Caenorhabditis elegans: one gene and its partners. The protein of the gene in region 3 purifies or fractionates together with the protein of the main gene of each other region. This does not show direct contact. Each region holds a gene or a part of one and is shown on either strand. Other genes may lie near its edges.

Region 1 (2,696 bases), on a different chromosome or scaffold from region 3:
TATATATTTATCTCAAAATGGATCTTTTTTTCAGTTTCCGACGTTTTTAGCTTGAATAGCATAACATGTTTCTGAAGGTTTTTTTTACTCAAAAAAAAAATGAAGACTGAGGTTTCCCAGATTCTTACGTGAATGTCAAAGATTTTTTTTTCATGGGAGGCAGGCACGGTTCAACGACATAACGCCTGCCTCTTACCTGACTATGGCGAGAAGTCAACGATTTGAGTTTACACCATAACAGTGGTTTTTCCGCAGCGACCGACACTTTTCGGGTCCCGCGCCGCAGTATCCAGAACGCGCGGCTCGAGTCGCAAGGCAGGCGAAGGCGTTTTGAAAGTTCCAGTTATGATATTCAGTCATTTTGAGACCATAAAAATATTTTTTTTTTGTAAATCATTTTCCGCTGGCTGTTCTTCACCTTCTATAGGCCATAATTCAGATCCTCATTTCAAGGGTCCAGCCATCTTCAATATCTGAAATATTTTCGGGGACCTTTTTTATAATAAATAAATGCATTTATTTCCTTTCAAAAAGCCACAAGAGAGTGAAAGGCATAAAAATTAGAACTCATTTCTTCGGCGGAGTCACGGGACTGGGTGGGGACCCGTCGTTCGGCAGTGGCTGGACGAACGATCCTTTTCCAGTGGGTGTATTCGGTGGCCCCCACCCAAATCTTGCCGATGGCGACATCTTGGTTCCGATGACCAGAAGTTCGTCGTCTGAAAAATAAGTTATTTTGAAAACCATATAAGACGACTACTGAATGAAAAGAAACTCACTAGTCACATTCGGGAGAAAATTTTCTCTGACGAGAATAAATCCGATGAGAAGAAGGAGAATCGATGATTTCATGACAATATGACGATCTTTGGCTGTGCTGCCCGCTTTTATTCGGACGATTTTTAGTATCCCACCATTAAATATGTATGGTGCTGGGAACAATACCATCCGAATTTGCGTATTGTTCCCACCACATCGATATTTTATAACATTTATCAAAAACGACCAAATATCATATCAAAACGACTGAACATCATATAAAACACTCTAAAAACTTTAAGGTTTTGGCAAATTGTCAAAATTTGGCAAAATATAAACTTTTGAGGAAATCCAAAGCAATGTGGCATGTTCCGACCCCTACAATGTTTAAATACAAATAATTGAGGCAAAATTACAGTACAATAAAAAATGTAAAAATTGTTTTTTGGTCGACTTCCAAAAATATGAGTTATGAGCGAAAACGGAGTAATTTTCTTTTTTTGACTGTAAATAAAAAATATTCAAAAAAAAAATTTGTGAAAAGATTCATCATGATATTCAGTCATTTTGGGAGCATAAAAATGGTTCTCAACAATTTCCCCACTGGCCCTATTCTACCTTTAGAGAACATTAATTTTTTTGGCATACGTTGAACACTTTCATCATTAGCTCACTGTGAAAAAGTTTTCTTCTAACTTAAGCTCTTCACAGTGCAATTTTTTTAATATACAAGTTCAAATTTTTATAGCACGTTTTTTTTTTTGATAAAATTTTTGTTGGTGTGTGAAATTTTGAAAGAAAAGATAACTTTGAAAAACATTTCCAATCTAGTACACAAGGTCTTACTAAAATTTAAACTCAGATTTTCATTCATTAATTGTTCACCAAATTTTTATTTTTCAGTACACCAAAATCCGACTCTGGGCGATGACCGAGTTTGACGTCATCGTCCATCTTGATTTGGATATTTTGCCAACTCGAGACATCTCAACCTTGTTTGAGTGTGGATCATTTTGTGCCTCATTTCGACACTCGGATATGTTCAACTCGGGGGTTTTCGTATTGAAAACCAATGAAACTGTACGTTTTTTGATCCTCTAAAATGTTTACAAATCAAATGCAATTTAAGGTCTTCCATGACATGGAGCAGCATGTTGCATCAGCGGAGTCATACGATGGCGGTGATCAAGGATTTTTGAACACTTACTTTAGCGATCTCAAGTTTGCACCAATGTATGACCCGAACAAAGCACCGCATACGTGCGAGAACTATTCCATGAATCGATTATCTGCACAATTTAATTACGATATTGGAATGTATTATTTGAACAATGGAAGGTTACTTGTGGACCCTGCAATTTTCCATTACACTCTTGGGCCAACAAAGCCATGGTTGTGGTGGACCTATCCGATATTTGACTTAAATTGGATGTGGTTGGATGCAAGGTAACATTAGCTATAGACACAATTTTTTTTTCAAATGTCACATACATTTAAATTTCAGGCAGGAAATGGAGCAAGGATCAAGTGCAGATTTTGATACATGCGTTTCTCTGGCCACCACAAATTGCTTGCTCATAGTTTCTCTACTTGTCATAAAGCTGGTAAGAATTTATAAAGCTGAGTAAAAACTTCACAAATTATAATATTTTCAGGTTATCGAGCGCTTTGTGGTCAACGTAATCAGTACGAGGAGTGTCAGCAGCATAGAAACTCATTTAGTTTCTCAATCCATATATTTGTTCTCAATGTGGTTTGCATTAAAACTTGCACATCCGTCTGCACAACCTGTTGCTGCCTGGGTGTTTTTCACGTCAAATTTGGTGAGTTTTTAACAATAATTTTTTTTAAGTTGAATTTTAGAGGCTTGACTGCAGAGTAGAGGGTACATCACTAATTTTCGACTGTGTACAAAAAATTTGTTTGAAATATTTCTA
Region 2 (3,839 bases), on a different chromosome or scaffold from region 3:
GGCCAACGAAAGGAGAAATCGAGTTTGAAAATGTATCTGTCAATTATGGGGAGACCAAAGTACTCAAAAATCTTAGCTTTGTTGTTTTAGGTGGACAAAAGGTGAGTTACTAACTTTTTGTTCAGAGTATTACTTCTGAAACTTAGATTGGAGTCGTCGGCCGAACTGGTGCTGGTAAATCAACACTCATTAAAATTATTTTTGGACTGAAAGAGTACTGCTCTGGACGTGTCACTATCGACGGTGTGGATCTGGATCACATTAGTCTTAACTTCAGAAGAGGAGGAATGTCTATCATTCCGCAGGAGCCCGTAATCTTTTCAGGAACGGTCCGGGAGAATTTGGACCCGTTCGATGAGTATGATGATGCTACTATTTGGTTTGCGTTAGAGCAGGTATGGCTTTAATTTATTGAAGAATAACATGTGAGAATGAAATTTTTATAAGCCATTTTTATGGCCCCTATAATCTTGTTTTAACACCATTGGCTTTACAAATTTTATTGAAAAAGTAAAATGTTGACTGGGCAAAGATTGAGCAAGACTTGGACAAGACATAAGCAAGACTTGAGGAAGACTTGGACATGACCCCTCCCAAGTCTGATCCAACTTTTTCTCATATTTTAACCAAGTTCAAACTTCACCTCACCGTAGCCCTAGTTTTGTCCTATGTGTGCCTAAATCTGATCCAACGGTCTAATTTAATACGAGATTCCGAAATTCATATGAAATCGAAATTTTTAATAGATTCTGTAGGATAATCGTTGAAAAAATTTTCAGTGTGAGCTTAAACGTTCCATCACAAAAGAAAAAGGATTGAACGTCGAATTGGGCCAACGGGGAGTCAGCCTGTCTGTCGGTCAGCGTCAACTTTTCTGTCTTGCCCGAGCAATGATCCACCGATCCAAAATTCTTGTTATTGATGAAGCAACCGCAAATGTTGATGGAGTGACAGATGCTTGCATCCAGAAAACAATTCGAGACTTTTTCAAAAACGCCACAATCATCACGGTGGCCCACCGTCTTCACACCATTATGAACAGCGATAATGTAATGGTAAGTGGTTTCTCAACAAGCAAACAATGCCTAGGTTCGCAACTTGCAGGTGTTTGAAAAAGGAGAGCTCGTCGAGTTTGACAAACCGATCACTTTGCTGGATGATCAGAGCTCGCTGTTTTCAAGAATGGCTGCTCAATCAGGGGCTGAAAATTTTGACTCCCTTCGGGCGGCTGCATTGGCCCATGCAATCGATGATCAGTCATCGTATACGGATAATAGTTAAAGTTTCATTAAATTTCCATGTTTTCTAAATATTCAAATCATAACTTGTTTCACTTTCACATCATTTTATAGCAATTCAATTGTTCAATGTCACCTTTTCAAAGGGAATCGAGATTGTTTTTATTTCACTTTTTATTCCATCATTCCATTGAGCACAATAATTCCTTGTTCATACCATGATCTAAGATCATTTCGGTTTTGGCCCAGTGATCGCATCGTCCACATCGTGTAGCTTTATATGTGTCGAATTTAATTTTTCTTTGGTAATATCAGCAATTTTGTTCTGTGGTTTTTTTCTGACTTTCATGATTCTAATCGAAACATGTATTTCATGCAAGCTATTCTTTTCTCCATCCCCCTCATTTTTTTCCAATAAAGAAACTCTGTTATTTTTCTGTTTTTATTTTGTGCTCTGTGTTTGCACTGTCCCATGGAAATAAGCAGACCATTTCTGTGACGAGTGTCTGATAAAAACTTGTCAAGAGTGAGGAAGAGAGCCGTCTAGAAAGCAATGAGCAAATCTTCAAATGCCAAAAATGGCAATCTCGAGTGCTTCACCATTTGCTCTAATTAGAAATTGATCGAGCGACAAATGCGGGCTCTCGAGTGATTTGGCGGAGCTTTGGAACCAGGTGCGAATCGCGTTTTTGTCGGACTTTCAAGAACGCCCCACATGTTGGGCGCTCTACAAAAAAAGACGGTCAGGTATATAAAGCACAGAAAACAGCAGAACAGAGCGCACCCGTCGACCTCCCGCTAGCACCTGAGGCAATTCAAAAACCAACCCGCACCTTTTCGTGCGTCGAGTGCTCTATTCAATTTGCACTCATCTGTGTTTTATTCTAAACATTCGATACACCCAGGTTGCGGCCAGTTCCAAAAAAGTTTCCAAGTGAAGATTTCAACAAAAATTCTGTTAACGATGAATTTCCGTTTTATTCTACTATTCTTAATATTCCCTTTTGTTTTTGCAAGTTTAGAAGAATTTGAGCAAGATAGCGCTGAAATTAAAAAAGAAGTGGTATTTTTTTGTTTACTTGTGTTTGTTTTGATTTAGTTTATTTTTTAGCCTGCTCGTTTTCGATCTTTCAAAAACTTTGGTAGCCATCAAGATGCCAGTAATCAAGCTGCAGAAGTAGCTGGCTCGAACGAAGATAACACTGATGACCCTGAAGTTGCACCGGATGCTCCATACCTTATGGCAGATTCTTCTCTAGAACAAGAAGAAGAATGCGTTGCTCTTCCGAATCGAACACGAGTTCGTCCGTCGTTTTTCCAGTGTAAAGAAGGTACAGTACTTCTAGTAAAACAGAGCCCTAAATACCAAAAATTGTAGACACAAAGTTTGAACTTCACGGCGGTGCAATTACAAACGGCAACGGTGATGATACCTACCCGGTTTCCTTCAACTCGCCTATTCGAATTTTCCTCGACATCACCAGTAATTCTAACAAACGATATGACAATTTGGGCGTCGAAGTGTCAATCTTTAAACGTTCAACCGGATGGTTCGGATGTGGGTGGATGTTTTTACCAAGCTTTGGGCTGTTGTAAGTTGTTTTCTTTGCAGAACACCGAAAAACATTGAATGTTTTTTTAAGGAGCAACTATGATATGTGTGACGACAACCCGTCATGTCCGGTGACTCCGGGACGTCAGGTTATCGAATTCGAGATTGATCCAACAAAGTTGTTTACGAATCTGTTCCGAATGATTCACTATGACTTGGTGGGTACTGACCATAAGGTAAACGCGATGGCTATTGTACTGGAGAGCCGTTGACGGACGCTTAGCAAATACGTTTTTTTTTCTTAAATTGAAATATTAAAAAGAAATCCACTTCTTCAGTATACTTCAATTTTTCAGTCCGCCTACCAAATGATGGTTCGAGTCCGAGACAATCGAGATCCCTACCGAGAGTTGCTTTGTGCTACGATCCAAACTAGAATCACACTCTGAGACCAAGACACTTTTTATTTATTTATTACCAAGATCCTTATCAGCAGTATTTATGAACGATAACCGGGACGCAACCCAATTAATTTAATTCCCCTTCCCTACCTTCTCCCCCAGTGAACACCAGAACCAAGTGGTTTCTATTCATCCAGTTGTTTATGATTATGACTCTCTGTTACAGGTTATCAAAAAATGAATAATATAGTATATTCTGTTTTGATATGTGGGAATGGTCTGGAACAACTAAGGTGCATGTGTGAATAACAAGAATTGAAAATCACATGGGATCCGGCTTTCGTTAGATCTCTGTTTTGACACATGTTTATCTCGAGTAATAACGCTGAAAATTCCATAATTCCATAATCATTCTGCTGAGAGAGTAAATTAATTTCTTGCTACTCAGCGGAGAAAACTTCCAGAGGAATTAATTAGTCAAAAAGAAAAACAACAAACAAATAATATTTGTTGAGTAATGTACACTACTTGCAAAACTTTTGTCGACCAATGAGCATCAAATGCAATATGTTAAGCGATTAACATTAACGAAACTTTAAAAAATATGTATATAAACCTGATCGTTGAGAAAAAAGTAAATAACACCGG
Region 3 (3,839 bases):
AAGAAACAAAAAAAACGTTACAAAACCACAGAACAATTCATTTATTAGTTCTCATTTGATTAAAATGAGTGAGCTTGTCAGCAATCTAAAGACTCGTCCAGATATATCGAAGCCACAATGGAGTCAAAGGACATATTACGGTAAGAATTCTTCAGGTTGCCAAAAAGTGCCAGCGAAGTTAAGACTGTTTAGATGGGATGTATCTGAAAGTTAATGTGCGGTGCATTGCAAAATTCTTGCATTTTTCAAAGTGAATAATAGCACATCGCGAAGCACATTGGACACCTTTTTCAATAATAGCACATTGGACACCTTTTTCATCGAATTATTCGGTATTTGGCTCTAGCTTCTTGCCCACGTTTTGCCCAAAACTATTAACGTTGATGAGAAATTGGCAAAACTTCGGCGAAAGTTGGGCAAGATTTTGACAAGACCTGGATTTAGGCTGCGCCAGATTTTGTCCCAAGTTTGATCAAACTCTTGGAACACTTTGGCTCAAACTTTTCTTGTGCCGCTTTGAACTTGAGAGACCCGAAAATTTGGAAACGCCAGAAATCAATAAATTACAATCTGATTTACTTCTGATTTTTAACATTTATTAACCTACATTGTAAAGAAATCCTCTTTTCCAGGTCGTGTCCGTCACTTTTTCACTCTTACTAACCCACTCACCCTGACCTCATCAGTTGCACGACAAGAGCAATGCCGACAAATTGTCTTGGACTACAAGAACGGAAAAGTCAGTCCGACGTTGACTGTGAGCGAGTTGTGGAAGGCAAAGACGTTGTATGATTCCACGTATCATCCGGATACCGGGGAGAAGATGTTCTTCTTGGGAAGAATGAGTGCACAGGTACATATAAAACCAATTGAAGCAACACAAAAAAGTTTGTGTTAAATATTGGCCAGAGTTGACTCAATCTTTAGTTAATTTGGCGTAGTCTGACCAAACTTTTGCCCATGCCAAATTCCGAGCCAAATTTATTTTTTGAGCCAAACTTGAACAAAAATTTAACGCCAACTTCCCAGAAGGTATTTCTTTGCTCCAAAAATAATTAAAAACAATTATAAAAATATCTAATGAAATTCAATCTTTGCCCTAGAAGCCTCTCTTTTCAATATCTACAGTTTCAGATGCCCGCCAACATGCTCATCAACGGAATGCTCTTGAGCCTTTACCGTACATTCCCGGGTGTTGTATTTTCCCATTGGATTAATCAATCGTTTAATGCAGTTGTCAACTACACGAACCGCAGTGGAAACAGTAAAACCAGCAACGAAAGGCTCATTCTCTCCTACTCGTGTGCTACTGGAGGAGCTATGGCTGCTGCTCTGTCACTGAATGCGATGGTTAAGGTAAACAGCTGAAAAAACATCTGCCGAATTTTCCTTTATAACATTCCAGAACAAGAACAGTATTGCTGCTCGCTTGGTTCCGTTTGCCGCTGTAGCATTGGCTAACACAATCAACATTCCGATGATAAGGAGCAAGTGAGCTGATTAACATGAATTATTCAAATTTTAAAGACGATTTTTAGCGAAGTAACAGAAGGATTGGAGTTACGTGATGAGAACGGAGAGCTCTTGGCAAGGTCCCGACAAATGGCTATACTCTCCATAGCACAAGTCACATTGAGTCGGATTGCAATGGCAATGCCAGATATGGGTAGGTTTTATCAAATGTTAAGCTTTTATAGATTTGCCTCCTGCTAATATATTTTAAGACAGTAATTTTCAGTGATGACGCCAATCATAATGAACCGAATCACACGAACGATGTACTACCGCACCCGTCCCTGGATGAAATACTCCGAGTACCCGATTCAAACTATGCTCGCTGGGATGGCTCTCTTCTTCACCACTCCAATGTGTTGTGCACTTTTCCCGCAGAAGACGGCAGTTGAAGTAAGATAAAACATAGATAATTATGCATTGGAAACCCAATATTTCAGGTTACCAAACTGGAAGCATCAGTTCAGAAAGAGATATTCTCCCGAGCCGATGCGCCTGAAGTAGTGTTCTACAATAAGGGATTGTGAGAAAATCAATTCACACTTAGGACGTTTTTCAACAATAAATATGATTGTTGAATTTTCTGAATGCCACGGTTTGGCAATACCCAAAAAGTTTCAGAATCCAAAATGTTGTTATCAAAAAAATCGATAGTTGCTCCTCCGCCTGCAAAAACCCCTAACATCAGCACAACCATAAATCATTCATTTGACCCAATCATCTCTGTTTTGTTCTGTTTTTATCTTTTCAATGGACACCACATGTCGCTGCCTGTTGACCCCCACCATCCAGCCAGTCTTGCTCAAAATGCTCTATCGACTCGTTGCCGCAATTTTGCTCCTTGGAGCTGTTCAGGCCACAATCAACTGTGCTGCTATTCCGACATCATTGTGGTGCTCGAATAAGGATCTTGAGGCGAAATGTGGATTCGCTTCCTTCTGTGATAAGTTAGTATCATAACATAAAATACTTATTTGAAACTGTAAATTTTAAAATTTTGTTTAAATCTTCAGACATCGCGCCGCCACTCACAATCAAAAAATCAACATCACTGTTCTGATCGAAGCTCTCTGCCCAGACTGCCAAAACTTCCTCACCAAGCAACTATACCCAATCGTCTTCAAAAACTTTGCCAACTATGTCAACATTGAACTAGTCCCATTCGGAAATGCAAAGGTCCTGGAAGATGGAACAATCAAGTGCCAGCACGGAGAGGAAGAATGCTCGATTAACAAGTTCGAAGGATGCTTCATCGACTCCATGCAAGACCAGAGCCCACTTCCAACTCTTTCTTGTATTGAAGAGAGTCTTCAGAAGAAGGTTGAATTTGCAGATGCTGTTCAACAATGTTTCGAAAAACTTCAAATTGGAGGGGATATTCAGAGATTGACACAGTGAGTTTGTGTTGAGAAAATGTTTAAATTCTGAAGAGCTGAAAGTTTTCAGATCCTGTTTGGTGTCAAAGCTCGGAGCTGATCTTCAAAATAAAGCCGCCGCGGCCACAGCCAATGTTTGGCCTGAGCAGGTTATTTTTCAAAAATTTAAAAATCAATGAAGATTTACCAAATCACCGTAAAATTTGAATTCAAATAGTTATGATAAATTCCAATTTTTGAAAGTTTTTAATTTTTTTTTTCGTTTTTTCTAAAACTTTGACTGATAATTTTAAATAATCTAACAATTTTTAACGGATCTTTCATGAAACTTAAACTATTTCAGCACAAGTTCGTCCCATGGGTGATCATCAATGGGGTCTCTCTCACCAGCTTCCAAGGATTCCAAAACCAACTTCCAACCCTCCTCTGCGAATGGTATTCTGGAGACAAGGCCATTCCATACTGTGAGGCTGCTCTCAAATTGAAGTACAAGAAGGCCAGTATTAGAAGCTTCTTTTAAAGTGTTCCCTTATAAAGTAATTCGAATAAAATATTAGCAATATCCTCCGGAAGGCGATTGCCTTGACCTGATCTGTTTACCTTCTCGATGAAGGAAATCAAGAATAACTCACATTTTTTCCTGCTTTACGCGGAAGAGAACAGGGAAAATAAAAAGAAAATCCAATTAAATTCGCCTGAGAATTCGATTATCATATAATGTTGCACTTCCTCCCCAGCAGGATTGACCTTGAAGTTTTTTTTGGAAAGACTCAGCTCTTCCGAAGATTCCCCCTTGATCATAATCTTTTTTCTAATTCGATTAGCATTTTTGCAACTTTATAACTTTGAAGATTACAATCACTGTAAATTATTTGGGTCAAGTTTTTCACACAAATTCAAGGTAAAACAACATATCTAACATAGAAAACCCGTGGAACGTGGCCACAAAAA

The links.
Region 1: the proteins of F37H8.5 (region 3) and T10B10.9 fractionate together in Caenorhabditis elegans (co-fractionation; one large-scale study listed by BioGRID). This does not show direct contact.
Region 2: the proteins of F37H8.5 (region 3) and ZK470.6 fractionate together in Caenorhabditis elegans (co-fractionation; one large-scale study listed by BioGRID). This does not show direct contact.

What each region holds. Positions count from the first base shown.
Region 1 is NC_003284.9:15,162,660-15,165,355, reverse strand, and holds T10B10.9 (uncharacterized protein), read right to left. Parts: upstream 949-2,696; coding exon 780-948; intron 720-779; coding exon 568-719; 3' UTR 501-567; downstream 1-500. Other genes in the region: T10B10.8 (Nucleotide-diphospho-sugar transferase), read left to right, coding at 1,663-1,839, 1,889-2,205, 2,264-2,363, 2,415-2,582.
Region 2 is NC_003284.9:4,175,671-4,179,509, reverse strand, and holds ZK470.6 (MD-2-related lipid-recognition domain-containing protein), read left to right. Parts: upstream 1-2,202; coding exon 2,203-2,301; intron 2,302-2,349; coding exon 2,350-2,569; intron 2,570-2,616; coding exon 2,617-2,830; intron 2,831-2,881; coding exon 2,882-3,026; intron 3,027-3,146; coding exon 3,147-3,239; 3' UTR 3,240-3,445; downstream 3,446-3,839. Other genes in the region: mrp-6 (Multidrug resistance-associated protein lethal(2)03659), read left to right, coding at 1-101, 147-395, 780-1,055, 1,105-1,281.
Region 3 is NC_003280.10:11,185,989-11,189,827, forward strand, and holds F37H8.5 (GILT-like protein F37H8.5), read left to right. Parts: upstream 1-2,217; 5' UTR 2,218-2,262; coding exon 2,263-2,459; intron 2,460-2,525; coding exon 2,526-2,906; intron 2,907-2,958; coding exon 2,959-3,037; intron 3,038-3,231; coding exon 3,232-3,408; 3' UTR 3,409-3,449; downstream 3,450-3,839. Other genes in the region: sfxn-1.2 (Sidoreflexin), read left to right, coding at 65-140, 633-853, 1,135-1,356, 1,406-1,491, 1,539-1,666, 1,739-1,905, 1,953-2,039.